Linked DNA regions of Yarrowia lipolytica. The protein of the gene in region 1 interacts with the protein of each later gene in a pairwise test. Links are inferred from orthologs where the notes say so. Each region holds a gene or a part of one and is shown in the gene's direction. Other genes may lie near its edges.

What was found.
Region 2: the proteins of YALI1_C24460g (region 1) and YALI1_B05520g interact in binary tests that used the Saccharomyces cerevisiae proteins (3 or more experiments, as listed by UniProt). The link is inferred for Yarrowia lipolytica from reciprocal best matches to the Saccharomyces cerevisiae genes ESF1 and ESF2.
Region 3: the proteins of YALI1_C24460g (region 1) and YALI1_A21345g interact in binary tests that used the Saccharomyces cerevisiae proteins (3 or more experiments, as listed by UniProt). The link is inferred for Yarrowia lipolytica from reciprocal best matches to the Saccharomyces cerevisiae genes ESF1 and HCA4.

What each region holds. Positions count from the first base shown.
Region 1 is NC_090772.1:2,442,452-2,452,791, forward strand, and holds YALI1_C24460g (uncharacterized protein), read left to right. Parts: upstream 1-3,589; coding exon 3,590-5,470; downstream 5,471-10,340. Other genes in the region: YALI1_C24434g (uncharacterized protein), read left to right, coding at 967-2,784; YALI1_C24488g (uncharacterized protein), read left to right, coding at 6,416-8,017; YALI1_C24526g (uncharacterized protein), read right to left, coding at 8,779-10,158. UniProt on the Saccharomyces cerevisiae protein: Involved in the 18S rRNA synthesis. Required for the early cleavages at sites A0, A1 and A2.
Region 2 is NC_090771.1:546,203-555,455, reverse strand, and holds YALI1_B05520g (uncharacterized protein), read left to right. Parts: upstream 1-3,426; coding exon 3,427-4,401; downstream 4,402-9,253. Other genes in the region: YALI1_B05571g (uncharacterized protein), read left to right, coding at 1-1,275; YALI1_B05522g (uncharacterized protein), read right to left, coding at 1,481-3,211; YALI1_B05497g (uncharacterized protein), read right to left, coding at 5,263-5,712; YALI1_B05483g (uncharacterized protein), read left to right, coding at 7,089-8,000; YALI1_B05454g (uncharacterized protein), read right to left, coding at 8,315-9,253. UniProt on the Saccharomyces cerevisiae protein: Involved in the small subunit (SSU) processome assembly and function, and in the 18S rRNA synthesis. Required for the early cleavages at sites A0, A1 and A2. Stimulates DBP8 RNA helicase ATPase activity.
Region 3 is NC_090770.1:2,127,372-2,137,982, reverse strand, and holds YALI1_A21345g (uncharacterized protein), read left to right. Parts: upstream 1-3,539; coding exon 3,540-5,771; downstream 5,772-10,611. Other genes in the region: YALI1_A21372g (uncharacterized protein), read right to left, coding at 1-821; YALI1_A21311g (uncharacterized protein), read right to left, coding at 6,247-6,906; YALI1_A21283g (uncharacterized protein), read right to left, coding at 7,613-9,700. UniProt on the Saccharomyces cerevisiae protein: ATP-dependent RNA helicase required for ribosome biogenesis. Involved in the release of U14 snoRNA in pre-ribosomal complexes. Required for pre-rRNA cleavage at site A2.

The sequences.
Region 1 (10,340 bases):
CTTGGTGATTTTAGTGAGTTGAATCGCACACAATCTATACGAGGTAATCACCCATTATATCCTCTGAAAGCTTCGAATATCGCTTGGTGCATCTCCTCAGGTACCGTACTTTGGTTTCAACTAAAACCCAAGTAAACTCCCAACAGAAGGAACTTATTTTCTCAACAATATTTGGTCTGAAACACCGCGTTAAACCAGGTATGTATATGCAGAAAAAAAAAAAGTAGAGAAGCCCCCAAGAGAACAAAATCGATATATAAAATCCCAATTTTTCCACCATAGGAGCTTTTTTTGACCCATTTCCCCCTCCTTTTTCCTTTTTCCCTCCTTTTTTCTTTTTCCCTCCTTTTTCCTTTTTTCCCTCCTTTTTCTTCTCTTTTAAATGCCATTGGACTATGCACTTGTAGCCCAATGACGTCATTGGATGATCATAGTCGGATTCTCAACAAACCACCAATGGACCGTTTTCGACCACCTTCATATTATCTAGTCACATGACCACCACAGATCTCATAATACATCACGTGACCGCATCCCATGGCTATTTCCTCGCTGCTGTCTGTTCGCCCAGGTGCCGATTATTGGCTCAAGGATGTCCGGGGGTTGGAACGGAGGCACGTCAGAGACGCAGGTGGGGTACTTTTGGAAATAGGTATAATCGGACTGAATAGTGAAGATATGGGCGTAAAAAGCACATTTTTGGACTCCTCGAACTCTGGAGATTCGAATGGTATCATTTATGTATCTTTTAAAGGCCCCGCTAACAAAGTCTACGCCGGTCCTGTCAGCCGCATCATCATGCATCTCATGGGTGCATCCATAACATGCCAAGATGTGTTTGTATAAATGTGGAGGCTACTTGTAGAACATAAAGGACAAATAAAACCAACAAAAACACATAATTTTTGACATCTGTTCATTTCCAACAACCACGAGTACCGCACCACCGACCAATTGACCGCCGCCATGTCGACCCAACAAATGCTGATCATGTTTGACACCAAGGCTAACTGCAACAAGTTCTACCATGCCAAACTTCTGGACGATCTGGACACGGTGGAGGTTCGGTATGGGCGAGTTGGCAACGAAGGAGTCAAGCACACGTATGTTGGTGGGCAGCGCAAATACGACCAGATGCTACGGCAGAAGCGCAACAAGGGCTACAAGGACGCGTTGATTGCCGCGGATGTGGAGGATGATGGTGGGGTGACGGTGCGCAGTAATGTGATTGACACTGCTCTGGAGGAGATCAAGTATCTCGACGACATGAGTCGGGTTCTGGTGACGACGATTTCGCAGCAAAACATCCATCGTATCACCGCTTCGACTTCGATCAAGTTTGACTCGGACGACGGTCTGTTCAAGACTCCTCTGGGGGTCATTCAGCAGCATGGAGTCGAGGAAGCTATCCGGCTGCTGGGCGAGATTGAGACCCATGTTGTCAATTTCGAGGCCCTGGTGGCCAAGGAGGGCGTCTCTTTTGACACTCCGGTTGCCAAGAAGGGTCCTAAGAAGCGCAAGAGGGCTGATGAGGAGGTGCAACAAGGACCGATTGGTACCCCTGAGGATGGAGTCAAGCCCGAAGGTGAAGGTGAAGGTGAAGGTGAAGGTGAAGTAGTAGCTGAAACCAAGACTGAACCTGAACCCGAACCCGAACCTGAACCTGAACCTGCTGAACCCTCATCTCCCCCCTCCAAACGACGCCGAACAAGAGCCCGTGCTACCAAGACCAAGGCCCAGAGAGACGCCGAGGAAGCCGCCCAGAGAGAGGCGGAGGAGCAAGCTGAAAAGGCAGAAAGAGCCCGGAAGGCGGCCGAACGAAAAGCCAAGGCAGCTGAGAAGAAGGCAGCCGAGAAGGCAACCAAAGAAGCCATCGAAAAGGCAGCAGCCGAAAATGAACCCGCCGAAGAAGAACCAAACGCCGCCGTGAAACCCTCTGCCGAGCTGGAAGTCATCATGTCCACTTTGTACACCCTCAACGAGCAGTACTTTGTCATCATCCCCAACAAGGTGAAAAACGCCCGCGAAATCAGACACCTGCTGTTCAACCAGACCGCCATTGACGAGCAAAAGGCCACCTGTGACGCTCTGCTGGAAACCCTTAAACTGATTGAAGACCTCAAAAAGAAGGCAGCCGAGGAATCGGAAAAGAAACCCACCAAGAAGAAGACGGACGCCGAAAAGACCTTCAACGTCGAGGTCAAGCACGTGACCGACAAACGCAGCTTCAACAGAATCAACACCATGTTTGAATCGTCGAAAAACCAGATCCACGGCTACACTGCCAAATGTGCAAAGGTAAAGAACATCTACAAGATCAAGTTGGGTTCCCAACAGGCCCCTTTTGCCGCCACCTCCAAGAAAATCAAGTGCGTGCAGGAACTGTGGCACGGAACCCGTCTCCAGAACATTCTGTCTATTCTGGGAAAGGGCCTGCTTCTTCCTAAACTGTCTCCGGGTCAAAAGGTGGGTGCCATGTTTGGGGACGGTCTGTATTTCGCCAACCAGTCGTCCAAATCGCTCAATTACTGCGACGGCATGCTCTGGACCTCAGATGGAAGCGGAAAACCAGAGACCATCTACATGTTTCTGGCGTCGGTGGCTCTGGGAAACTACTTTACACCCGAGGGGCCTGTCAGTACCAACCCCCCCGAAGGTTACCACAGTTATTGGGCCAAGGCTGGTCAAAGCGGAGTCATGAACGACGAGATTATTGTGTTTGACGCGTCTCAAATCCGACTCGATTACTTGCTTGAGATTGAATTGAGAGCTAGCGACGAGTAACTACAGTGTATTGATGAAATTACAAGTACAAATGAGCTGAGAGAAAGCACCAGTATTGCAACCCTGTCATCCACTCACAAAAGACGTAGATAGTTTGGTTTCTCAGACGAGTTGCGGGACTCGGAGTGTGAATCAGCAAGGGAAACAGACCCAACTTGCTCCTGGGTCGTAGTAATCACCTTCTTGTCGGTCTCATGAACTCCGTTGTTGCTAGCAATAGAAGCAGTTGCTTTGGAGGGCTTTTCGCTTTCGTCCTGACGTTCCATCATAAAATGAGGCCCCGAAAACAGCAACGGAGCCCTACTTATAGTAAGCTGGTTTATGGCACTTGCTACTCCCGTTCTAAACTCAAGATTCAAAGCCCAACTATCCACTTCTCTCAACCCTAGGAGAACACCAAGATGCACTTTATGGTACCAAAATGATGCTGGGGATCTCCTGGTCGTGGCTGTGCTACTATCCTATATTTCATCCATACAAATTTTGCCACTTTGAGAGTCCGGCATTAGTGTGACTCCAATCGGCGCGGAATGCGAGCATCGGGGACCGGGGAAAAGGGGAAAAAGGAAGCTGTTCGAGTCTGGACCTGATTGGACCACAGACGGCTCTGCGACCTCCACCCTTCATTATCTGCTACATGCACTGCACTTGTCTGGCCAATTCTCGCCATAGCGAGGACATGATGCAGAAGTCCAAAGTCTAACTATAAAAAATTCGACTATCTGCACAATCTGAAATTTTCAAGTTTCATTTTTCAATTTTCATTTGCAAATCAGCTATCGTCACCATATCACCAGAGAGCGAAATGCCACCCAAGGGAAACAAGGAGAGAAAGACCGTGAGCGACGACCCGCGATTTGCGGGAGTGCATTCGGACCCGCGGTTCTACATGCCGCGAAAGAAGGACATGAAGGTGACAGTGGACTCGCGGTTCAAGAAGGAGCTGCTCCACAACAAGGACTTTCACAAGGGCGCCAAGGTCGACAAGTATGGTCGAAAGCTGGAGCAGCAGGACGCGCAGCTGCAGCGGCTGTATAACCTGAGCGACGATGAGGAGGAGTCCGGTGAAGAGGGAGACTCCGAGGAGCCCGAGACCAAGGCTCAGAAGAAGCCTCTGTCTGCTTTGGACCGAGCGCGGGGAGAAGGAGTCGATTCTGACGCCTCTTCGGGCGACGATTCAGACTCGGACGACGACTCGGACTCGGACTCGGAGGTGGAGATGGAGGAAGAGGTGGTGCTGGCGGACTCGCAGGACATTGCCACCGGCGACGAGAGCACCACTCTTGCGGCGGTCAATTTGGACTGGGATCACGTGCGGTCGGTCGACCTGATGGCCACCTTTTCTGGCTTCATCCCCCCTAAGGGCGAGATCAAGTCTGTGGCCATTTATCCCAGTGAATACGGCAAGGAGAAGATGGCCGAGGAGGAGCTCAATGGACCGGACGCGCAGCTGTTTGAGGAGAAGAAGAAGCGGGCTGGCGACTCGGACGACGACTCGGACGACGACGAAAAAATCAAACAGGAGTTGCTCAACAACGACGACGGCGAGGAAATCAACTCCAAGAGCTTCCGAAAGTACCAGTTGCAGCGAATGCGGTACTACTACGCGGTTATTGTGTGTTCGGATGTCGCCACGGCCCGAAACATCTATCAGAACTGCGACGGGACCGAGTACGAGTCGACCGCCAACTTTTTCGACTTGCGATACGTGCCTTCGGACATGACTTTTGACGACGAGCCTCGAGACAAGTGCACACGGGTTCCCACCAACTACAAGCCGTCTGATTTCGAGACTGCCGCTCTTCAGCACTCCAAGGTGAAGCTCACGTGGGATGAGACTCCGGCCGAACGAAAGAACGTGACTCTGCGGGCGTTCAACAAGAAGGAAATGGATAATGAGGAGCTCAAGGCCTACCTAGCATCCGACAGCGAGTCTGACGAGGAGGGGCGGGCCGATCTCAAGGCAAAGTACCAGAGCTTGTTGGAGGGCACCGGCATCAACAAGGGCGAGGACGAGGATGGAGAGGAGGATGTGGATATGGAAATCACCTTCACCCCCGGACTGGACGAGTCCAAGAAGAGTGCTGCTGAGCCCAAGGAGGAGGGTGAGGAAACCACGCTGGAGAAGTACAAGCGAAAGGAGAAGGAGAGACGAACGGCCCGAATCCAAAAGTGGCAGGAATCCAAGGAGGCCAAGGAGGATGAGGAGCATGAGAAGGAGGCCAAGAAGCCCAAGAACAAGGGCAAGAAGGAGCGGGAAAAGAAAAAGAAGGAGATGGAGCAGTTAGCGTTGCTGGTGGACGAGGAGACCGACGCCAAGCACTTTGATATGAAGGAGATCATCAAGGCCGAGAAAAACGCCAAGAAGAAGTCCAAGTACAGACAGCAGGGTCTTGTGGAGGACAAGTTCGAGATGCCGGTCGACGATCCTCGATTTTCGGCTCTTTACGACGACCACGAGTTTGCCATTGATCCGTCCAAGCCTGGATTCACTCGAACCAAGGCCATGGACAAGCTGCTAGATGAGCGCCGAAAGCGGCAGGACCGAGGTCAGGGAGGTGTCAAGCGAAAGGGCGAATCTGGAGAGCCTGCCAAGAAGAAGAAGCGAAAGGGAGACCAGACCGGCGAGGGTGTGGAGAGTCTGGTTGAGCGAATCAAGCGAAAGCACCAAAAGGATAACCAGTAGGGGGACTAAACCAAGCAGTTAGGTGATTGTTGCGGTTGGTATATAGATAATGGAGGTAAGATATTGGTGGTACGGTACATACAGTAGTAGTAGTAGTAGTACATATTACTACACTACAGTACAGTACTTTAGGCAATCTGACAGTGGGTAAACCGTTGTGGTAATTTTTCCCGCCGCCGAGTCACCATGACTCCGTGGATACATTTCGACTGATAGATGTAGAGTTTCGGCCCGACAGGAGTCACAGCCGTCGGGATGGGTTCAAGGTCTCAGTTTTTCATCATCAAAACAGTTGTTCCAGTCAAACTGCCGGCATAGAACTCTTCCATGTACCTCAGACGAAAAAAAAAAAAAAAGCTCCCTCTAGCGACTTCTGGTGACCGTTTGGATGCAGCCATTTCGGGCTAGGTTAGCGCTAACAAGGGGGAGGACAGGAGGACAATAGTAGGGGAGTATCGGTGTAATGAGACGTAGAATGTAGTTGAAATGACGGGCAAGTACTTGAAAGTGCATTCACTTTTCGAAATCACTGGTCCTCAACTTGTATCCAAACTGGTGGATCCAAACTGGTGGATCCAAACTGGTATTTAATCTGCGTCTTATCAGCGATGGACATAAGAAGGAGGTGTTGAATGGAAACTAGTGGTTTTCACCCGAGGTGGAGAAGAAAAGGACCAGATTTTTATAATCATCGAAAGAAATCTCGAGCTCATCTTTTGGCCCGATTTGGCCCGATTTGGCCCGATTTTGGCCCGAACCTGCTGTTATTTCAGCCCTTGAATGTCTCACATGGCATACAAGGTCTTTTTTGGGAAGCAAGATAAGACCCTGCGGCCATGATAGCGGATCAATGGAGTTAAAAAAGTCGATCTAGCCCTACTTGTTGGTATATATACCCTGGACGCGCTGCGGGGTCGCCATTGCACGAAAAAAGACTCCACGAAAATGTCGCACGAACCGCCGGGAACCACCATCTTGGAAAACCATGCTTCCGATGCTATCATTCTCCAGCCCACTCCGACAGCCGATCCCAACGAGCCGCTCAACTGGTCCAAGTGGAGAAAACACACAAACTTGTTCATTGTCTGTTTCTTTACGCTCATGGCGTTCACCGCCAACTGTGTATCGACGGTTTTCTGGACGCCTCAAAATCAGGAGTTGGGATGGACTCTGGACCAGCAGAACAACGGATACGCGCTGTCGGTGGCGGGTCTGGGTCTGGGATGTCCACTAATGATCCCGTTTGCGGAAAAGTTTGGAAAACGGCCCGTTTATTTGGTATCTTCGGCGATAGCTCTAGCATGTGCGGCTTGGATGGCCAAAATGACGACCGTGGGCGAGTTGTACGGCTCCAGCTTGCTCCAAGGTATGGCCACCAGTGTCACTGAGACCATAATTCAAATGACGGTGGCCGATCTCTACTTTGTGCACCAAAGAGGCACCTGTAACGGCATCTACATGGTGGTGGTGGACGTTGGCAACTTTCTCATCATGGTGCCGGCGGGATATATCACCATGAGTCTGGGGTGGAGATGGGTCTACGGAATCATTGCTGTCATAACCGGAGCCCAGTTTCTTTCCACGTTGCTCTTCTTTGAAGAAACAAAATACACAGCCGGAACAGAGACCCTGGTGGGGGTCGGAGAAGACGAAGAAGACAGGCCAGAGGAGAATCTGAGCAACAAGGACGCAAAAGACATAGTCCGCAACTTGGAGTCTCCTTCGACGGAGTCTGTCATCATGGATTTCTCCGATTCAGCCTCCTCCAGAAACGCCTACCAGTACCAGAAGAACCCTCTGTCCAAACGCCTGGCTCTGGTCACCTATACCCCAGGAAGCTGGAGAGAATTTGGTCGGAAAATGTACACCCCGTTTATAACGCTGTTTGCCTACCCAATCGTCACCTTTGTGGCCATCCAATACGGCTTCATGCTCACGTGGTTGGCCATGGCAGCTACTACGGTGGCATCTGCGTTTGCCGAACCTCCCTACAGCTTTTCCTCCGCCGCCCTGGGAAACATCAACATTGCTCCCTTCATTGGAATGGCACTAGGGTCTGTCTACGGAGGCTGGTTCAACGACAAGACAATCATTTGGCTGTCCAGACGCAACGGAGGGCAGTACGAACCCGAAATGCGACTGTATGGGCTGATTCCTGCAAACCTGACTCTCACAATCGGACTGTTTCTGTTTGGACTTCCCATTGCCCACGGGGTCCACTGGATGGTGCCCACTCTCGGATTCGCCATCATCATGTTCGGATTCGGCTCTTCCGGAGCCATTGTACTGACATATCTGCTGGACAGCTACAAAAACATTGTTGCTGATGCATTTATCGGTGTGATTGTGGTCAGAAACGTGTTTGGAATGATAATGGTGTTTGCCCAGACGCCCTGGATCGAAAAAGTCGGTCTTCAGAACGTCTACATCACCGTGGGATGCATTTCTCTGGTCCCTCTAGCCCTGACCGTTCCTCTTATCTACCACGGCAAACATCTGAGACGAAAAAGTGAAGCTAGGTACCTGAGAGAATCCACTAGACGTTAGAGACTACGACAGGTTGACGCTTTATTTATTCAATTATATATTCACTTGAGCAGCCCAACACACCAAATTAGACCAAGAAGTTATCCAGTTGGCTATAAAACTATCAAAATTTCATTAGAATACTCCAAATACCAAAAACACCCAAATTAGCCGGGTTTTGCCGTTTTTTTGCCGTTTTTTCCGGTTTTTTCGCCGGTTCAAAGTTCCATAACTGCCCTCACAATGTCCCACCAATCCCGGAATACATCCATGGCATCCTGGCCGAGCGGTTAAGGCGAGAGATTAGAAATCTCTTGGGGTTTCCCCGCGTAGGTTCGAATCCTGCGGATGTCGCCATTTCATTTTTTTACATCCTCTTGTATCAGCTCCGTAACGAGTTTTACTTTCGATTTTTATTCATTTATATTCTTTTTTATGACTAAGCAAACTTATGGTGCTGTAGGTCTAGCTTTTCGAAAAACCCATCGCCAAAATTGCCTGGCTAGCTCAATCGGTAGAGCGTGAGACTCTTATTCCAAGGTCATCTCAAGGCTGTGGGTTCAAGCCCCACGTCGGGCTTGTTTTTGGACCATATTTTTCCCGGCTTAGTCATATGGCGTAGAATGGACCTGGGTCCTCGATTTTTACACTGTAGAAACTTGAGAGGAACAGACGAATCCTCCAAAGCTATTTTTGTTGATTATTAAGCCACACACGACTCATTAACAAAATAGCCCGTCTGAATCGGAGTCTCCTCATGTCTCTGTGCTTGCTATTATACATTACTCAACGTAGTTGGGTCTTTCGGCGTCGTTGTCGTCATGCCTCAAGTCTTTGGAGTCCAATTTCCGCTTCTTCCTGGCCGCCGTTCGCTTCATCTCGAAAATCAGACCCGAAACTCGACGGTTTGTGATTGCTTCGTTCCCTCGCTGTTTCAGAACTTGTGCAATCTGAGTAGGGGTCATTCCCTGCTCAGTAGACTCCTTGATGTACTGTCGTTCTTCGGAAGAAAGACGCCGATGAACCATCACGCTCCACTTGGAGTCCGCTGGAGCATGATTATGGCCGGTGACATTGTCTTGATAGGGCGCATGACGCAGGTGCCAAACGCCGTCAACGTCTTTGTAAACGTTGACCTTGACGGGACACTCCGTTCCAACACAGGGACGAAGCTTGGTGGGCTTTCTGTACCGACTGCAAGCGTAGGTGATGGTCTCTGTGGGAGTTCCGCCAGAATCAGCACCCGATTTGCTGGTGTTGGTGTCCTTTTTGACCCATCCAAAGTAAAATGGCACTCCATCAGACTTGTAATTAAGACTAAAGTCGTTGAGATACCTTTCAAGATCCTCACGATGGCGAAACGACCTTTTAGCAGGCAAGTAGTCTGGGCAGTATTGTGGATCCAGCTGTAGAATGCGTTTTTCAATGTCGTAGATCAGATTCCGTTGGTCCCGTGATAACTGGTCAATCGGACATAAGCTGTGATTGTGGACAGACAAGTTCCTGGTCTGATTGACCGTCCAGTTGGTATCTCCATGTTTGGTCACACTGATGTTGTATCCACAAGCCTGGCCATCTTCACCGGAGCGGCAGCAAACAAAGCGCAGATACTGCTTGTTGTTCTTCTTTTTGCCACCTATAGACTTGTACCTGAAGACAAAACCGTCCTTTTTTGCCCAGTCGTTGATCATTTTCCACAGGTGCAGCTTGGAGTTTTGAACAGTGCCTGGAGGCAAGTTTTCGTCCTCGAAGTCTGGGTTTTTCTTTTGTCGACCTCTCTCTACTTTATCAATGAGTGCCGAAACCCCCTCGGTCACATCTGAGCCGTCCGTCTTGTGATTGTGTTCGTTCCGGCTGCTGGAGTCGTACACCAAATCAGCCCTGCCTCCTCCATAGTCGCGGATATCCACCTTGTACGTGCAATCGGGCCGACAACAGCGCATGATTTTGCGCACGAACGGGTCCGAGCCATTGTTGCTGCCTCTGGAGCGGTACAGCGCAAACACAAACCCCTGGTCGATGGAAAACCGGTTCAGAGCACCCCAGACGTTGGCGAACGATGTGCCGGTCGTAATGGATGGGATCAACGGCGGCAGAAGCGGCGGATGCGACGCTGCGGCCTCGATTTCTGCCACGTGTGTTTCGGGGTCGATTCCCGCCATTTTTTGACCCACTTTGACCAATGTCGCAAGATGGCGATTGGTGTCGTAACGCAAGGGAGAAACGTACCAATGGGCCGTCTCACTGGATAAACGACGTCGTGAAAAGATTACGCAAAAGTTTAATTGTTTCACTCTTTTTTTTTTTTTTTTTTTTTTTTTTTCTTTTTTTTCCTTGTTGCGAA
Region 2 (9,253 bases), on another chromosome or scaffold:
ATGTACGCCGAGTCTGGAGGCCAGGAGTACGACACTGGTAAGATTGTCATTGACGGCCAGACCGAGTTTGACGTCAACAACGTCCAGGTGTACGCTGGCTACGTTCTGCACACTGGAAACTTCAACTATGGTTCTCTCAAGATTGGCGACGTTGTCAACGTTGGCTTTGATACTGCCCGACGAACTCCCCTCAAGAACAACCACACTGGTACCCACGTTCTGAACTACGCTCTCAAGGAGACTCTTGGAGACACAATTGACCAGAAGGGATCTCTTGTTGCTTCCGAGAAGCTGCGATTCGACTTCTCGCACAAGGCTGGTCTCACCCCCGCCGAGGTGGCCAAGGTTGAGGATATTTCCAACGCCTACATCACCAAGAACCTCGCCGTGTACGCCAAGTCCGTCGATCTCACTACAGCCAAGAAGATCAACGGTGTGCGAGCCGTCTTCGGCGAGACCTACCCCGATCCCGTCCGAGTGGTGTCTGTCGGTGTCCCCGTTGAGGACCTGATTGCCAATCCCGACGACGCCAAGTGGGCCGAGTACTCGGTCGAGTTCTGCGGAGGAACCCACGTTGGTAAAACCGGCGAGATCAAGCACCTCGTCATCATTGAGGAGTCTGGTATCGCCAAGGGTATCCGACGAATTGTCGCTGTGACCGGCAAGGAGGCTGCTGATGTGCAGAAGCTTGCTGCCGAGTTTGACGAGCGACTCGACAAGCTGGCTGCCCAGCCTCTTGGTGCTGACAAGGAGCAGGCCGCCAAGGCCATTGGTGTCGAGCTCAAGAAGCTGTCTGTGTCCACCACCTCCAAGCTGGCTCTGCAGGAAAAGTTCAACAAGATCCAGAAGACCATCACCGACGGAATCAAGGCCAAGCTCAAGGCTGAGTCCAAGGCCTCCACTGATCTGGTTTCCTCGTACTTTGAGAAGAACCCCGAGGCCACCTACCTGGTTGCCCATGTTCCCGACATTTCCGCCAACTCCAAGGCTCTGTCTGAGACCATCAACCACGTCAAGTCCAAGCTGCCTGGCAAGTCTGTCTACCTGTTTGCTGGCTCCCCCGCCGAGGGCAAGGTTGCCCACGCTTGTTTCATCGATGAGTCTGTGTCCAACAAGGGTCTGACTGCCCAGCAGATGGGCGCCATTGCCGCCGGTCTTGTAGGTGGCCGATCTGGAGGAAAGGGTCCTACCATCCAGGGCTCCGGAGACAATGCCGACAAGATTGCCGACGCCGTGTCCGAGCTGGAGAAGGAGATTACCAAGTTGGGTTTGTAAAAAGGAGCAGAGTTCCATGTTATTGAATGAATGAAGGAGGATTATTACTCCATTAGATGATAGAGATGAGCGACACTTTGTGGTGGAAATAGTTCTAAAACTGTAGATTTTTGTTTTCCAATAGTCGTCATTCCATCAGATCATGTCTTCATTATATCTCGTTATGTCATTTATCTAAATGAATGGTGGTTGGTCTATAGCTGACTCAAAACACATCCCTAGCCGCCTCCCTAACTCCAAACGACGACGTGCCATTGGAGCTGTTCTTACTCACTGTAGGTCTTTCGGCCAGCTCCTTCTCAATTTCATCAGCCAGGGCGGCATCCTCCTCCGCAATATCCTGGATGAAGACGTAATTCTGGCCACGCGAATAGTACTTCAAAGTCACGTCTCTGGTATTGTTGGTCATGGAAAAGTCCCTGAGCACCGACGAGTCGACCAGCACGTACTTAGTGCTAGTTCCAGGACACTCATAATTGGCATTGAGACAAATCTTCTCCATGACAGCATGCAGACCCCGAGCTCCCAGACCTTCGGAAAGCGCAGTCTTAGCGATGATGCGTAAAGCAGGCTTGGTGAAGACAATACGGGTGCCAAATGACTTGAACTTGACTCGGAACTGCTCCACAAGAGCGTTCTTGGGCTCAATCAGAATTCGCAATAGATCCTCCTCGGTCAGATGATTCAATTTGACAATCGTTGGAGCCCGTCCAAGCAACTCGGGAATGAGACCATACTTTTTCAAGTCTTCAGAAGTGATCAAATCCAGAGCATTGGCGGTTTCGCCGTTAGCAAGAGTCACCAGCTTGTCCTGACTGTCCTTTTGCTTGCCCTCATCCTCACCAGTCTGCCTGACATGGGCACCAAAGCCGATATCGGAAGAAGTATTGCATCTAGCTGACACCACGTCACTCAAACCAACAAAGGCACCCATGAGAATAAACAGAATGTTCTGCGTGTTGATTGTGACGCTCTCCTTGGGCATGGCCGAACCTCCTCCCGGAAGACCAGCGGTGGTTTGGGCTCTTCCTGGGGTTCCAGAAATCTGTACAAGAGTGCCTTCCAGCATTTTCAACAGCGATTGCTGTACTCCTTCGCCAGAGACATCTCTTCCAGATCCTTCCCGTTTGGCCAGTTTATCGATCTCGTCCAGAACGATGATACCATGCTCACACCTCTCTACATCGCCTCCACAGACCTGGTACAGCTGCTGAACACACGATTGAACGTCGTCCCCCACGTATCCGGCTTGGGTGAGCGCAGTGCAGTCTGAAATGGAAATTGGCAACGACAAAAAACTTGCCAGAGTCTTTGCCATCATTGTCTTGCCTGATCCAGAAGGACCTACCACCAGCAAGTTGGCCTTGTCCGGAATCACCTGACTTTCTGTCTCCTCATCGTACTCCTCCTTGAGCACGTTGATGTAGTCTGTCGACTGTGGTTCGTCGGTGTTTTCCCAGCGGTCCGAGATTTTGCCCTTGGCGGCGTTGATGCGTTTCATGTAGTCGCTCCATTGTCGTTCGTCAATCAGGAGGCCGCTTCGGAGGTAGTGGTTATAGATCGCCACCGCAAACACCTTCTTGGACCGGTCCTGGCCCACTATGAACTGGTTGAGCTTGGCCAGCAGCTTCCGGGGCGTCATATCCGGCGCCACCGCACGTCGAGGAGGCTCTCCTCCAGGAGGCCCCGTCGACTGTGTTTCTTCATTGAGAGCCGCTGTGGGCACGGTGCGCTGTTTACGTGCCTCGGCGAGTGTCGGGTCAGTGTTCTTGGGCTCCGTGTCGCTCTTGACCGTCCGCTTCCGCCGTTTCTTGGGCTCCTCCACATCTTCATAGGGCCCCTTGGTGGTGGTGTATGACTGTGGCTGTAGAGTGTGGAAGGACACGCAGTGTTGTTTCTGTGTCACCACGACACGTGTCAGTAGTCGGAGGCTCATGCTCGGTGGTTTCTGGGTGGTGATAGCGTCTCTATATGACTCTGGTTACCCCACAGAATCTGCATATGACTATTACGATACTCTCATATCCGATGTTAGATGAGGTAAGATGGGGTTAGGGTTGAGTTCCTTGATTGGAAGTAAATGCAGGTGGGAAATATATTTTCGTGCAGCGACCAGAACAACTATCAGCTACAAGTATACGACTCTTTCAAATGGCTCGAGCAAAAGCCGTGGATTTTTTCAGCACGAAAAACAACTCCAGCGACAGCGAGGAGGAGGAGGACAAGCCGGCGGTCGACCCGCGGTTTGTGCTGGCCGACTCTGATAGCGAGGGAGAAGAGGAACAGGAGGATGGAGACGAGGATGAAGAAGAGAAGGGCCGAACCTCCAAGAAGAAGACCAAAGACTTTTTTGAGCTAGCTGGAAAGACTGACGACGGCGACGATGAGGAAGAGGACGAAGAAGATGAAGAGGAGGAGGAGGAGGAGAAAGAGAAGAAGCCCGTCAAGACTAGTTCTACCAAGGCCAAGACCAAGCCTATGACCAAGGAGGAGATTGAGAAACACAACAAGAAGATCGCCAAGACCGGTGTCGTCTACTTCTCGCGAATTCCGCCGCTCATGGACCCCGGCAAGCTGCGAATGCTGCTCCAGCGGTTCGGAATCGTCGACAGAATCTACCTGGTTCCCGAGGACCCCAAAGCGCAGGCGGTACGAATCAGACATGGTGGAAACAGAGCTCTGGCATACACTGAGGGCTGGGCTGAGTTCACTAAGAAGCGGTACGCCAAGACGTGTGCCAGCACGCTCAACGGCAACACGATTGGAGGAAAGAAGGGCTCGCAGCATTACGACGATATCATGAACGCCAAATACCTTCCCAAGTTCAAGTGGAGCGATCTTTCTGAGCAGCTGGCCCAGGAGACTCACAACCGACAGGCCCGTCTGCGAACCGAAATCTCCCAGGCCACCCGAGAGAACCAGACCTATATCCAGTCGCTGGAGAAGTCCAAGGCTGCCGAGCGACGACGACAGAGACAGGAGGAAGAGGGCGGCGAGACGGAGGAAAAGCCGGCAAAGAAGGTGCATCGAGACTTTTACCAGGGCAAGACCCACAGTGCGAGAGCAAAGGAGGGCAAGAAGGAGTTGGATGGAAGCGTGGGAAGCATTTTGGGCAGTGTCATGTAATAGAACTTATTCAAATGTCGAATGGGAAACACATGAAAGGGGAGCACGGATATTGGGCAAGATTATGTGTCACACTCGCCTTTTCGTTTTGGTAATGAGACCCTTCCTTCTACCAACACTCGATCATATCCCTCATATGAGTCCGAGTACGCTGCATGACACTGGATACTGAGGGACACCTATTGCCAACATCTACGCCCAGCTGAATAGGTAGTAGATATTTGTATACATATATAATGATATGGTTGTTTTCTGTACCGTCGAATCTGCAGTAATATCCCAACTAAAATTCAGAATTTACTTGGATCCCATAAGTATTGAGGGTGGCACAATACACTCCCTATCTCTCTCAATAATAGTCAGAGGATGAGAAAATCCAAATTGTGGCATTATATAATCAGTGCAAGTACAATAGATACAAAAAAATCAGTATATATATTCATGCTTACCACTTTTTGAGGACCTATACTAACGAGGTCAGAATGTTAAATCTTTTTGAAGAAGCCGCACACGATCAATTGTCGAGCCTCTGAAGGCTCCATCACCACGCAAGAACCATCAAAGGAACAATGGTGGAGAATGACGCTACTTTTTTTGACATGATTTGATAGCTCTCGACGAGACAAATACAATGGGCAACTCTGTATCTTCGCTGCTGTGTTCTTCTTTGTTTTAGGCGCCGAAAACGATCACCGAAATCGCTTGCCGATTCCTTTTACATACGGTACCGGTTCATCTACAATATGTCGTCAATTCTACTAAAGAAATGTCAACTCAATCATAAATAATGACATTAGCTATCGGGCTCTATCGTTGCCCAACATTAGTTGTTGGTGGTGTTTGGCGTCTCCGTCCGCGCGCTTAGGCGTCAGACTGGTAGACCCAGTCGTTGAGACCGTACTTGTTTCGAGCAATTTCAATGGCCAGGAACTGCATTCGAGGCACAAACATGGTGTTGGTCTCAGTGTAGCCCTTGGAAGCATCAACTCGCAGAATGGTGCCAAAGTTGTAGTCGGCAATGATGTTCTCGTACGTGTTCATGAATTCTCTCCACTTGGGCTTGTTGGTGGGCGACTTCATGTCGTTCTCGTCCAGCACTCGCACCTTCTCGTGATCCAGGTACTCGGGGAACACTGTGATGAGATGGGTCATGATCTGGTCGTCGATCTTGGTGAGCTTGAGCTCCGAGCCCTTGACGGCGTGGAGCAGCTTCCAGTACGTCTCCAGGTGGTGCACCGCCTTGACGGCAAACTGCTTTTCGATGTCCTCGAGGTTCTCGGCCTCTTCGGGGTTGAAGTTGTTGACTGACATGTTGTGTGTGTTGTTGTGTGTAGATGAATAAAATGCAATTAGTACTTTTTTTTTTTGGACCAAGCGATTTCAACTTCTTTATATTTTTTTCTGCCTTTGGACAGAGTAAGGTTCAGGCGAGACTGAAAGACAATCGAGAGTGTTCTGGAGAAGCCTAGAATGGGACGTGGACGACTCTCGAAGACCGCGGAAAACCATGGAAGCATTCCTCGACATCAACTTGGTCACGTGAACCAACCCCACCCCTCCTCTCCGTTCTGCTCCCCTGAATAGACCCCTCCTCCCGGCTCCCTCAATGTCTGGAAAGTCCCAGAACTTTTTCTTCCCTATCGCAACTCTAACAGGGGCGAGATTTGTGTAGGCGGAATAGAGGAGTTTACCGTGATTCTGTGGTCAATTGTAGCATATAAGTATGTACAAATGTGTTCCCCTTGATAAGGCGGTTCAAAATACGTTTTCAGATTTCAAATACGCCCATTATTGACCGAGATATACTGCCATTCTCACTCAACGCCGCCGCCTGACACACAGTGAAACTTAAGAGAGGAGCTTACGGGTCTGTCAAGGCATCATCGAGCGGAGAAGAGGATCCGAATAGACCTCTCTCGTCTACTGCCACGGAGGGTTTGGGCTTGCTTAGTAATAATTCGGAAGGATCAGTTTCTACCGGAATCGCTCGTCAGGTGGGGGGTGGGGGGGGGTTGCTTAGTAAGCATTCTGGCGGTGGAGATACAGCTACAAGTATCTGTAAGGTGATTCTGTTCAAACGATACCAAGCGCAACCAAACGATGAACGATTCCATATAACGTCAGTGTTTGGTTGTATTTGGTGGCACTTTTGGTGTGGTTCTGATGGTCTTTTATATATATACCTCCAATTGAGTTCTGACGTCATAGTGGGGAGAGCAAGTGACTGAAAAATGCAGACTGATATTGCTGAATAATTTTTCTTGTGAAATTTGTGACTAATCAGAAACTTGGATCAGTTCAAGAAAAATGAGCGATTTGGCCACAGGCTTTCTCGCTAGATTCTGTCTTTGGTCGTAGCTGGTACCACGAGCATTTCTTCACTGGAGTATTGCACTCTCCGTCCCACCAACAGCCAATCAAAGAGAGGGCGAGGCAGCCGCAGTATCGTGTTACGCTTGTGAGCAGATGGTTAGTAATACATGAGTGGGCAGGACATGGTGCTCGGCACGGTGGTAATGCAAGAGCGCAAATGACCGCCGCGCGCAGACTGTGCGCAGACCGCTGGCGCTAATATCGACTCAACTTTTTATTAGTCACGGTTCATGTCTCCGTCGACCAACCACCCCACTCCCAACCCCGCGCTATATTAGACAAAGCAGAGTAGGCGCGACTCAGTCTAACATATCATGCTTCGAGCGACCCAGATTCTGCACCAAACAAGCCGAATAATGCCAATTCCGTCCTCCACACGCCTGCTACAAACGTCGGCCGCGCTCATCATCGGCGACGAGGTGCTGAATGGAAAAATCTCAGACACAAACTCCAAGTTTTTTGCCCGCTACTGCTTCGCTCTGGGCCTGGATCTACAGAAAGTGGAGGTGGTTCCCGACGATGAAAAGGACATTGTGGAGTCGATCCAGCGACTGGCTTCGCGTTACGACTTCATTGTCACCTCCGGCGGCATCGGACCAACCCACGATGACATCACTTACGAGGCTATCGCCAAGGCCTTCGATATGGGGGTCGAACAGCACCCTGCAACGGTGGACCGAATGACTCGTCTGAGTAGACGAAAGATCGACTTCTCAGACACGGAAGCACGAACGGCTCAGCTGAGAATGGCCTCTTTCCCTGTCCCTCGTCCCCAGGGAGCTACCACAGCTCTCCCCGAGCTCCCCAACACGGTGGACATCACCTACGTTGCCGAGGACCTGTGGGTGCCCATTGTAACGGTGGCTGGCAAGGTAAACATTCTCCCTGGTGTGCCCAGTCTCTTCACCCGGCTGCTGGAGGGAATCAAGCCCGATCTGGAGAAGAAGGTGGACACGGCCCGACAGCAGATCCGTTTCTTTGTCATGACCGATCTGCCCGAGAGTGTCATGGCCCCTTACTTGCGACGTCTGCAAGAAAAGGTCAATGAGAAGGACATCAAGATCGGCTCGTACCCGCACATGGAGCTCAAGAAAAACACCGTGTCTATCATTGGCCGAAAGGGAGACGTGGAGTACCTCAAGGAGATTGTCAAGGACGTGGAGAAGAATCTCAAAGGAGAAGAGATTTCGGCGGAGAAGGAGGAGGGCAACAGTCATGGGCCGTAGATAACTCGGAAACCTACAAAGCGAGTTGTTGGGCTGTCGTCTGAACAGATGGTGAGCGAAGCGGGCTATTTTCTTCATCGTTCGTTACCAATCCCCTTATTTATGGACTCTCTAAACGTCTAAAGAGATACTTGATATACGAATTACGAGTACACATCGATATGTTACAAGAACAAGTACTGTACTCGAGATGCGCTGATACAATTAGGACGGTATGTACGTCCTCGCCAATGAATGCTCAGATTAAAACAGTATGTGGAATGTAACCGCAAGCAGGGCCTAATATTAAATCCACGGCGGCTAGTCTAGTGATGCTACAATTCAATGAGAGGGGCAGACTCCTCCTTCGGCTGGGCGGGAGCACTGGGCGCACTAGGACCTCCAGGGGCACTAGGGGCACTGGGAGAAGATGCATAGTCGTATTCGGGGGCACCGGAGTACTGGTAACTGGGTGCGTTGTAGACGTTTTGTGCTGGTGGACCCCCATATTGAGGAGCAGAGGGTGCCGACCCAGTGTAGTGGTTTGTGAGATGGCCAGTGGGTTGGTTAGAGAGATATGGCGCCTGTCCAGTGACCTGGCCGGTCAGATAGGGAGCTTGTCCGGTGTGCTGGTAACCCATATGGGGTTGCCCAGTAATCTGGCCAGTCAGATGAGGGGCCAAGTGAGGCGGCTGTCCCGTCATCTGGTGGGATAAGTGAGGTTGTGGTGCGTATCCTCCCGACTGTCTATTAGTGTAAGCCTGGTTGAGCTTCTCCTCCAACAGCGCGTCGTAATACCGAATCACGGTGGTCATTTTAGCATGCATATCCACCAACGAGTCGTACTTGGAGATGGTTTCGCCCATGGTTCGGGCAAGCTTGGGTCGCAGGTTGCCGACGGTGTCATACAACTCCTGGATCTTGGGTTCCCGCAGAATCGTTCCCTGGGGTTCTCCCTTGAGGCGTTCAACAAGCAGAGACAGCAGATTGATGTTAGACTCTTCTGTGGCTGTTAGATCTGTGAGGGAAGGAGCCATGACTGTAGTGGAAGCTGAAGACAAGCCACCGGCAGATGCAGAGGTCTGTCCAGTCTGTCGCTCGTTTTCCATGTCTCTAAGGGAAGCTGCAATGGCAGCCTTCATGTCTTCATCATCGTCGTTGGAGGTTGCTGCTGCAGGAGGAGGGGGTTTGTAGGACTCCTGTTCCTGTAGTGACAGTCTGATGGCCTTTTGAATGTCGTCTTCGTCGTCGTTGGGTGCTGAGTTTGCTGGGGG
Region 3 (10,611 bases), on another chromosome or scaffold:
TAACCGTCCCAGAAGGGCACTTGAGGGACGATATCTCCTCGGTGGGTGATTCGGTAGAGCTTTCGGTCTTTGGACACCTTGGAGACATCGGGGTTCTCCTGGCCAAAGAAGAGTTTATCGACCCAGTTAGCAAAGCCAGCGTTACCGACAATGGGCTGACCAAGAGTAACAACGAGGGGATCGTGGCCGTTAACCTTGAGGTTGATTCCGAACAGAAGGGCTGCAGCTCCTCCGAGAGAGTGACCGGTGACAGCAATCTGGTAGTCGGGATACTGCTCAATCACAGAGTCGAGCTTGGGGCCGATCTGATTGTAGGTGTTGTTGTAGGACTGGATGAAGCCATTGTGGACAAGACAGTCATCACAAGTAGCAGTAGAAGAGATGTTAGCAGCAAGATCAAAGTTCGTCAGAGGAGCCTGCATGATTCGGATGTCGGTTATGACGTCCTCCAGAGAGTGGGTTCCTCGAATAACAAGGTAGATCTGCTTGGAGGCATGATCAACAGCGAGGTAACCAGAAACATCAAAGATGAGACGGGGGTCGTGGAACTCCTCGATGAGCTCAACGTTGGGGAAGTGGGCACATTGCAGGCCACAGTTGAAGGGCTTGAAGATCTTAGTGCCGGGACCAACACAATATCCAATGTTTGCGAGTCGGGCGTACTTCTCAAAGAAGTTGTAGGACTCCTGGTCAATGTGAGAGGTCTCGGTAGAGGTGTACACTCGCTTCTGGAGAACTGCGGCCTCAGAAGGAGTGATGGGGGAAGGGAGGGCGGCAGCCAGGGTAGCGCAGGCTGTGAAGAGGATGGTGGAAAGCTTCATAGTGAGGGGAGCTGGTACTTGGGTATCAATTGAGGGCTTTCTATGGCCCTTTTATAATCCAATCCCCCCACTATGGAATGTGTCTGTGCCGTATCGGAACTTCCACCATAATGCCCCGACTGCAACGCTAAGCGACCCGTAATTGATTTGGCCCTGGTGCATGGTGCATGAGGTCTGCGCCGTTCACGGCGATCAAAAGCTGTCGTGTCGGACATTTAGACTAGCAGATAGTGTTTGGTGATCGACGATGCCTCGAGAGCCGGAGAAACTGCCAGAGTAAATTAGCGGTCAGTGATATCGACATCGTCAAAAGGCTTCTCAGCCCAAAATCGATGTCCATGACATCTCCACGGACCAAGTAGAAGGTTAGGAATGCTGCAATGAAGTCTACCATCCCCACTCGAAACTGAATCAGCCGCAGATGCGGAATGAGCCGTACAACAGGCTCATTGGTGAGGAGATAACCTTGCGGCTCTTGCCGGATGCTAATATCAATCAATGACGTGATATTAGTCTGTTTAAACGGTCCGATTGGAGTTTCGGAGACATTCGGGGCCTTGTGACTGAATTCCCTTGCAGGTCCACCTCCACTTTACTGTGAGGTAGAAGCACTCGAAACTCTGAGAGAGAGGTTTGGGTTCTGCATCTGGAGTTTGTTCGCGTCTCAATTTTTGACGTTGTCGTTGTACAGTAGCTACAAAGCGGGTACAATAAGCAAACCTAGCAGGTTCTGTGACAACAGTCAAGTAGATCTGTGGGTCTATCTCGTATAACTCTTTGGGGCCATAGCAACTATCAAAGGAGGTTGCAAGGGGGCCTCCGAACCCCGCAGCCTGTGACGACATGTACCGCGGCACAGGTGCAGCGGAGTCGGTAGACAAGAACCGGTCTGCAGTTACAAGGTGCCTGCATCTGCTTGTTTGCCATAGTTCTTCCCCACTATTAACTTCAAAACACCCATCAACTATGCCCACCTGAAGGCACAGACTCGGAGAAGTTTTAGGTTGATGAGCCCTGCAAAACGGTCGGCGCCGAGGGTCCACAGTAATTATTCCGACCGCAAAAATGAGAGCGGCAAAAAGAAACGGTGATAGACACACTTCTCGTCCGATGCGACGAAACGTACCACTTTGAGTATGGTGATCTAAGGACTTATCCGAACACTGACAGAGATAGAAACAATAGCTACTTACTGTAATTCGCTTACCAAGTTGTCGTTTAAACAAATAATGGTTGTTCTAAGACGTATAGAGCCTAGACTCTATGATCTGTATGATCTGTGCTATTAACTGTATTTCCTAGCAAACAATGAGCCGCTAGGAGCATGGCATTCCATTCCCATTGACTGAGGTGTGTCCGACAGTGCTAATACTGCATCCCATTGAAGTGGCTACAGACAAGACACATGCCGACATGTGAAGGAGAAATGCGGGCCGTACAAGGGGTCTCGGGTGTACAATGCAAGGTGTAGGAGTTGCAGAATCAGTCTATTGAATGTCATTACACCAACTGAGACCAATGTTTGACTACAGACTTCGGTGCCAATGTGTGTCTGGACTGTAATCCTATCTAACAGAGGGTGCACTCTTCTCCAACGTTATCATTTGAACAGTGAAAGGCTACAGTAACAGAAGCAGTTGTAAACTTCATTCCGTTGATTCTGTACTACAGTACCCCACTACGCCGCTTCCGCTGACACTGTTCAACCCAAAAACTACATCTGCGTGCGCTGTGTAAGGCTATCATCAGATACATACTGTAGATTCTGTAGATGCGAACCTGCTTGTATCATATACATCCCCCTCCCCCTGACCTGCACAAGCAAGCAATGTGACATTGATATTGCTGCTTATCTAGTGCCGAGGATGTGAAAGCCGAGACTCAAACATTTCTTTTACTCTCTTGTTCCTGACCAGACCTGGCGGAGATTACGCCAGTATGATTCTTGCAGGTCTGAGACAAGCCTGGAACAGCCAACATTTATTTTTCGAAGCGAGAAACATGCCACACCCCGGCACGTTCAGAGATGCATATGATTTGTTTTTCGAGTAACAGGTACCCCCCCCCCCCCCCCCCCCCCCCCCCAATGAAAACCAAGTATTACTCACCACCATCCTCATTCAAAGCGTTACACTGATTACGCGCCCATCAACGACAGCATGAGGGGACTGCTGATCTGATCTAATCAAATGACTACAAAAATCGCAATAATGAAGAGCAAACGACAAAAAAGAAACAGGTTAACCAATCCCGCTTCAATGTCTCACCACAATCCAGCACTGTTTCTCATTACCTCCTCCCTCTAATTTCAGAGTTGCATCAGGGTCCTTGATGGCCTGTCAGGTCGAGTCATTCCTAATTTACGATACCTCATGTTGCAGAGAGACGACACGTGACTCAATTTGGGAGTTCGAAACCTTAAAAATCTTGCAGTCACGTGACCCAAAGTCATATGATACGGAGACGCGGGACCCACGATTTAACCAGGAGTTTTGCAGTGAAAGACCTTGTCTGCAGTATACCGTCGTCTTGCACCGTCGTCACATCTTTTGCGCCCTTCTTCACACCCCCGTTGCCCTAATTCATGCACTCTGGCATGCACCTCTGTCGCCTCCATACTCCAAGCTGCATGCATGTGTAATTTTCAGACTGATAAAAGTGAAGGCGCACGAAAAGTTAGATTTTTTTGTCCAAGAAATTTATCCGACAGCTTGAGATATGGCGAAAATGAAGAAACGAGCCGATCCTCGTAAAATCAAACGAGAGGAACACAAACAGAAGCTCTCCAAGCTGCAGGAGCGCGTCGACAACTTTGGAGAGGACGAGGCCGACAAGGAGGTGTCCAAGTTTGAGGAGCTGCCCTTGTCTGAGGCTACTATTGAGGGTCTAAAAAATTCACATTATGTCACCTGTACCGATGTTCAGAAGCGGGCCATCCCTCCCGCTCTGCAAGGCCACGATCTGCTTGGAGCAGCGCGTACCGGAAGTGGTAAGACTCTGGCGTTTCTGGTGCCTGTGTTGGAGTGCCTGTTTCGAAACAAGTGGAGTGATGTGGATGGTTTAGGAGCCCTGGTTATTAGTCCGACTCGAGAACTGGCGGTCCAGATTTTCCAGGTTCTGCGAAAAATCGGCCGTTGTCACAGCTTCTCTGCTGGTTTGGTTATTGGAGGAAAGGACGTTGCCATGGAGGCTGACCGACTGGCCAAGCTGAACATTCTCATTTGTACACCCGGACGACTGTTACAACACATGGACCAAACTAGCGGGTTTGATCTTTCTAACGTGAAGATGCTGGTGCTGGACGAGGCCGATCGAATCCTCGATATGGGTTTCAAGAAGACCATGGATGCCATTTTGGAAAACCTGCCTGTGGACAGACAGACTCTGCTTTTCAGCGCAACACAGACCAAGAGCGTCAGTGATCTGGCCCGTTTGTCACTCGCCGACCCCAAGTACATCTCCGCCAACCCGGACACCACTTCCAGCACACCCAAGAACCTCGAACAGAACTATGTCTGCGTGGAGCTGCAAGACAAGCTGGACACACTGTGGGGTTTCCTGAGAACACACACCAAGTTCAAGATCATCGTTTTCTTCAGTTCATCAAAACAGGTGCGATACGTCTACGAGACCTTCCGAACTCTGCAGCCCGGTATCCCCCTGTTGCATTTGCATGGCAAGCAGAAACAAGGAGCACGAATGGATGTTGTTTCCAAATTCTCCAAGGCCTCTTCTTCGTGTCTGTTTGCTACCGATATCGTCGCTCGAGGTATCGACTTCCCGGCTGTTCACTGGGTTGTTCAGGTCGATTGCCCCGAAGATGCCGCTACCTATATCCATCGAGTCGGCCGAAGTGCACGATTTGGAAAGTCTGGAAAGGCACTGCTGTTCCTGACCCCCACTGAGGAGCCCGCCATGATCCAGCGGCTCGAAGCCAAGCATATCCCCATCAACAAACTGACGATCCGACCGAACAAGAAGAAGTCCATCAAGAACCAGCTGCAGGCTCTGTGTTTCAAGTCGCCGGAAATCAAGTACCTGGGTCAGAAGGCCTTCATTTCGTACTACAAGTCGATTTTCATCCAGAAGGACAAGGAGATTTTCCAGTTTGAAAAGATCCCCAGCGAGGCCTTTGCGGAGTCTCTGGGTCTGCCTGGTGCACCACAGATCAAGCTCGGAAAGAGTGCTGAGAAGATGAAGGAAGAAGCCAACGCCAAGAAGAACCAGTCGCGGGCTCTGCAGAAGCTCATGCGGGCCGGCGATGACGGAGTGGTGTCTGACGATGAGAAGGAAGTACGAACTAAGATGGACAGAATGTTTGAGAGGAAGAACCAGAACGTCCTGTCGGACCATTATCTCAACATGGTCAAGGGAGACGCCGACGAGGATGAGGAGACTGGAGATTTTATGACGGTCAAGCGTCAGGACCACAACCTTGAGTCTGATGATGACGAGGATGTCGCCAACCTGCCCACTTCTAAGCGAGCAGCCAAGCAGGCATTATCCAAGAAGCAGTCGCTCAAAAACAAGGGTCTGGGAACCAAGACACTATTTGACGACGAGGGAGCGCCACATGCTCTCTACGAGTTTGATGACGAGGAGGATTTCAAGGCTGCAGGACCCGTCGAGAGCCAGGTCAAGGAATTTGTTGACCGAGAAACCAAGGATATGGAGGAAGCTGATGTCGGTGACAAGGAGCTGGTCAAGCAGAAGCGAGCTGAGAAGAAGCGAAAGCGAAAGGAGATCGAGCGACTTCGAGAACTCGACGAGTATGACGAGGAGTCCGAGGAAGAGGGAGACTCCGAGGAGGAACAGGCCGCCAAGAAGCCCAAGTGGTTCCAGCGGGATGAGTCTTCGGACGAGGAGGAGGATGATGGCGTGCTGGAGGTTGAGGAGCCCACCACTCTGGAGGATCTGGAGAGCCTCACTTCCAAGCTGCTTAAAAAGTAAGTGGACACTAGACTACAACATAATGTATATATACTGTAATGATAGAATTTAGCATGGAAGGCGGTTTTGTACTGTAGATGCAAGAAGAAAGTATAGAGAACTTCTGTCGAGCCAGTGAGATATAACGCTGAACAACATGAACACACAACGCCACAGCAACAATACATTGCACCAGTTTATAGAAAGACTGATAATATATTATCCCTACGATACTGAATCCTGTCCATCCATACACTCTCTGGCCTTGGGAGTGACGCCATGAGTTACGTCCACAGTTGTACGATGTACACCACCCTTTTCAGAAACATAAGACATTAATTCATTAAGGGCCAGCCAAACCACACGATGTGGACTTGCACTGGCATTCTATATGGCACAGTATTGCTAGAGAACTGTGAACAAGCAGCAGGCTCGATGGTGCTTAATTGTGCTGACTATTATGTGACGTCATTCCAAACAATAAGTTCGTAACCCCTTAAAAGTCCCGAACACCAAGCACTTCCCACTCGTCCACAGGTCCTTCGCACCGCACCAGCGCGAAACGTCCATTTTTCCATCCAAGACCGCTCTCGTCGTATCCGGATCCGAAAGTGTCCTCCAGTCTCGTCTCAATGGTTCGCCGGTCTGCGTCTTCAACGGGGTACAGATCAGAGTACACCAGAGACACATGAGGGTCGTACTCGTTTCTGGTCCACTCGGCAGCCCGCTGGCCCACTTGGGTGTCAATTTTTTGTCTTTCCTCCGCAGACATGGCCTGGTAGTTGCGTGCCTGTGACATGGCCTCGGGCATGTACACAAAGTCCTCGCGGCATATTCGGGCGAGTGAAAGGAGCTCTGGAGTGGGCTCGACCTGGAGATAGACCTTCTTGAAGAACCGCGATCCGTACTTGACGGACGACAGGTGAATCTGGAAGCCCTGGGGCACGCATTTGGCTGCGGCAACTGCTCGATCTAACACAAAGTCGACCTGGCCTTGGGTGTTGACGGAAATGTTGGAAGTAAGTGTAATGTGAGGCTCGAAGTTTTCCGAGTCTGAAAAGATGGGCTTCAGGCCCTGGATTGTAGTGGCAAGCTGCTGCCAAATTGGCGAGTTCCTAGGAGGCTGGAGCCATAGAGATGTACCTAGGTTAGTCATGTGCCTTGGTTGTGTGTCGATGACTGGCTGTGGTTGTGTTCTTGTTGGTCTGTCGATAAGATTGTGAACAAAAGATTACTCACCCATTGTGTGTTATGATGCTGTAGGAAATTTGATTCCACGTGACTGGAGCGGACCCAAACGTGTTTCTTTTCCGCGGCTTTTAACTGCTTGAGCTAGTGTTGACACATCCAATTGCAAGGCCTGCAACCCTAACCCTAAGGCTCGGTCGGGCCTAAGTCCGACAAACGGAAAAAACGGTGCTTCGTACATGTGCCTCTCATGCGCGAAAATCAAGTTATTTTCGTATAGAAATTGCCACCGTCATGCGGCAAAGTGCGTAGCTATACGGTGAGAGCCGAATTAATGGGTATGGAGCGGGCTGTGGTTTTGTTTGGACTAAAAGGAACGGCGGCTCAGTGGCAAATTTATTATAGTCAGCCGCATGCCCTCTGCACCCTTGTATGAAGAAATTAGGGACATACTCGTACTGTAAAACACAACACCTCAGATAGTGTAAATAGAGATATCCGACTGTACATAATGTCGGGAAAATTACTTAGTCTCACCCGGACCCACCTGCATCCCCAAAGTCCCGATCATCCGTATTAATAGGCACTGAGAAGTTGTAGATATGTACAGTCTTTAGTAAATTAATATATATATATATATATATATTACCCCGCGTTCTCTATAGCAATCTTTTTTAGTTAGTTTGTCCCTCCTTTTGGCCCTCTTTTTCCTCCTCTAATGCTGCCTTACACATGTCATTCCAGCCAGACGGTGGCTGCATCTCCATGAGCTCTTCAGGTAGTGCCAAAAACTGCATACTGAGACCTGCCTCCATGTGCCAGGCAAAATGGCAATGGAACGCCCAGATTCCGGGGTTGTCGATCACAAACCGAATCAGAACCCAGCCGTATCCGTCCACCTGAAGAGTGTCTCTCATAACTTGTCCTCTGTCAGGAATGTTGTCATATCTTCCAAAATTGAAGTAGGAGTTGCCCGAGTCGAGAATCCAGAATTTGTGACCGTGAAGGTGGAAGGGATGAGCTCCGTCATCGAGGTTGTTGATGACCAGATCAATGGTTCTGGTGGAGTTGACAGTCACGGTCAGCTGGTCAGGACCCCAGTGCTTGGAAGGTCCATCGGCAAACATCTCCAAGGGTTTCTCACGCAAAAACTGAGACAGGGTGGCCTCCTTGGCGGGGTTCCAGGTGGTGGCATTGAAGACTCCTCGCTTGATGGCTCCCTGCTGTCTATGGAAAGCAGCATGAAGCTCGACAAAGTCTCCACGTCCAGGAATGGGGTCATTGTATTTAGGCGTCAACATGGTGGTATTGAGCTCCAAACACTCGACGGTTCCATCAAAGTCCTTCCACTTGACATCTTGAGGATCTCCGTGGGCAACCAGGTAATTGGGATCCCCCTTTGCAATCAGCTTCTTGACTTTCTCCGTGTGGCTGGGGTATGAGAAAATGGCTCTGACGTTGATATCGAGCTCATCGTTCATTTCGGCGTAGCAATGAGGGTTGAACTCGGTTCGCAGCCAGAACTGTTCATCAATTTCTCGCTTATCTGTCTTCACCAAGAATGAGTATCGTTGAGCGTTGGCCACACGTGCTGCCTGCAGTTCGTAGGGTTCCACGGAGAATCCTTCCACCTCAATGAGATCGAACTTATGCTGGTCGATGGAAAAGTCAATCTCACTCATGGCACCAGCGTTGATGATTCGGATTCGGTACGTCTTATTCTCCTCCACAGGAATAATCTGCTTCTGCAGCTGCTGGCACTCTCGGTCAGTGTACTTGGAGCAGTCAAACTCGCCCATGCCCTGAATCAGACCAGCCTGAGGAACAGGTTCGTCATTTTCACCGTTGGGAAAAAGATATCCAGGCATGTATTCTCGACCCATCTCGTGGTACCAGTCGTTCACAAACAAAACCATTTCCTCGTCGTACAGATGCTTGTAGGCTTCATCTTCCTTGGGGGAGTGAATCACAAGAGGTCCAGCCACACCGTCAATAGCCTGAAGGTCCCAGTGAGAGTGGTACCAGTAAGTTCCGTACTGGCCATCAAGTGTAAAGTTGTAAGTGAATTCGTGTCCAGGCATAATTCCACACTGGGTGACTCCGAGAACTCCGTCCATGAAGTTGGTACCCTTTTGGAACATACCATGGAAATGCATACCGGTAGGATCAGCTCCCTCATTCTTAACATGCACGATTATTCTGTCTCCCTCGTTGGCTTCAATTAGAGGACCGGGGAACTTGCCATTGATAACAGTCATCTTTCTCTGGACTCCGTCTGGGGCTCCGACAATGTCGGAGATTGTCCAGAAGTACTCTCTGGTCTGGGGTTCACTAGACGAATTCCACAATCCGTTCTTACTGAGATTGTACTCGTCCAGAGTGTTTCTCTGCCATGGTTGCAGTCTTCGTCCTAGAGAATCCACATCTGAAGACCATCCCTTACTGGTCTTGAGGTATCGGATGACAAAGCCCACAATCAGGACAACGATCACGAACGCAATAACCAACCCCAGCTTGAGACTGATCTTTGGTTTCCGTCGAAACTGTCGTTGCTTTCCTGTGCTCTTTTTGCCTCCCAAAAGCCCTTCTCCGATATCTGCACGATCATCGTCCACACTGTAATCGTCCTCGTGATCATGCTCAAAGTCGTCCAGGTCTGCCAGGTCGTCCAGGTCGTTTGGAGGAGCCTCGGGAGAGTCGTAATTGCGACTGTCAATGTTGTTGAGCTCCAGGTCCTCGCCGCCAATCTTCTTGTATGACATGATGAATGTGGACTTAGTTGAACCCAGAAAAAAGTCGAAGCCGTGTGGTATTTCAACTGATCTAACCGAGAACCTTATCACCAGACTCTACAGGTGGGCTGCACCCTCGATATCATGCTAAGTAACGTGCCTGCTATTGGTTGAAGCATAACAGCACGTGGGGGTATCGCGTGCGTTAGAGGGGACGGCACGGTGAGAAAAGGGGGGGGGGGGTCATAAAGGCCTTGGGCCCGAAAGAATGTTGTCGCTACAATGAGAACAAAAAGATAGACCCAGGCAAGCAGAAATACGAGAGCAGTGTCTCGTAATTCAATCTCACGGCCTCCAATCTTCACCCTACTGGTACAGTAGGGTTTAGCTCGTAAAAAAACACCATCTTCATTTCAGTTAGACCCAAAAGTCGAAACGTGACCAACGCCAAAACTGCACGGTATAACGGCGATTGGGTGGGTCTTTCATGTCGGAATGTCATCAACTAAGGATGAGTCCAGCACTGTACTTTCATTATGAAAAAAACTTGGTCCCTAGCAGGATCGAACTGCTGATCTTCGCGTTGCATAGCTGCTATTCTTATTAGCACGACGCCTTAACCAACTGGGCCAAGTGGCCGTTTCTTTTGTGGAAATCTGTAAAATCCGACGCACTGTGTGGGAAACTCTGTATTTCGGCGAAAATCTGTTATCACTCGAATCCTCAGAGAAAGGTAAGTGCAGTTTTGTGATTAATTTTCTCATAGCTGCTCGAGTCGTTGTGTTATCCTCAAGAAGAGATTGGCAGAAGAACACGTGAACAAAGTTTGGGTTCATAGTTACTTTTCTAGATAGGCTTTAGTTGAGATATAACTGAACTTCAAACAAAAAGATTGATAGGAAAATTATACAAGTAGATGCGATAAAAGTACTGTACGTACA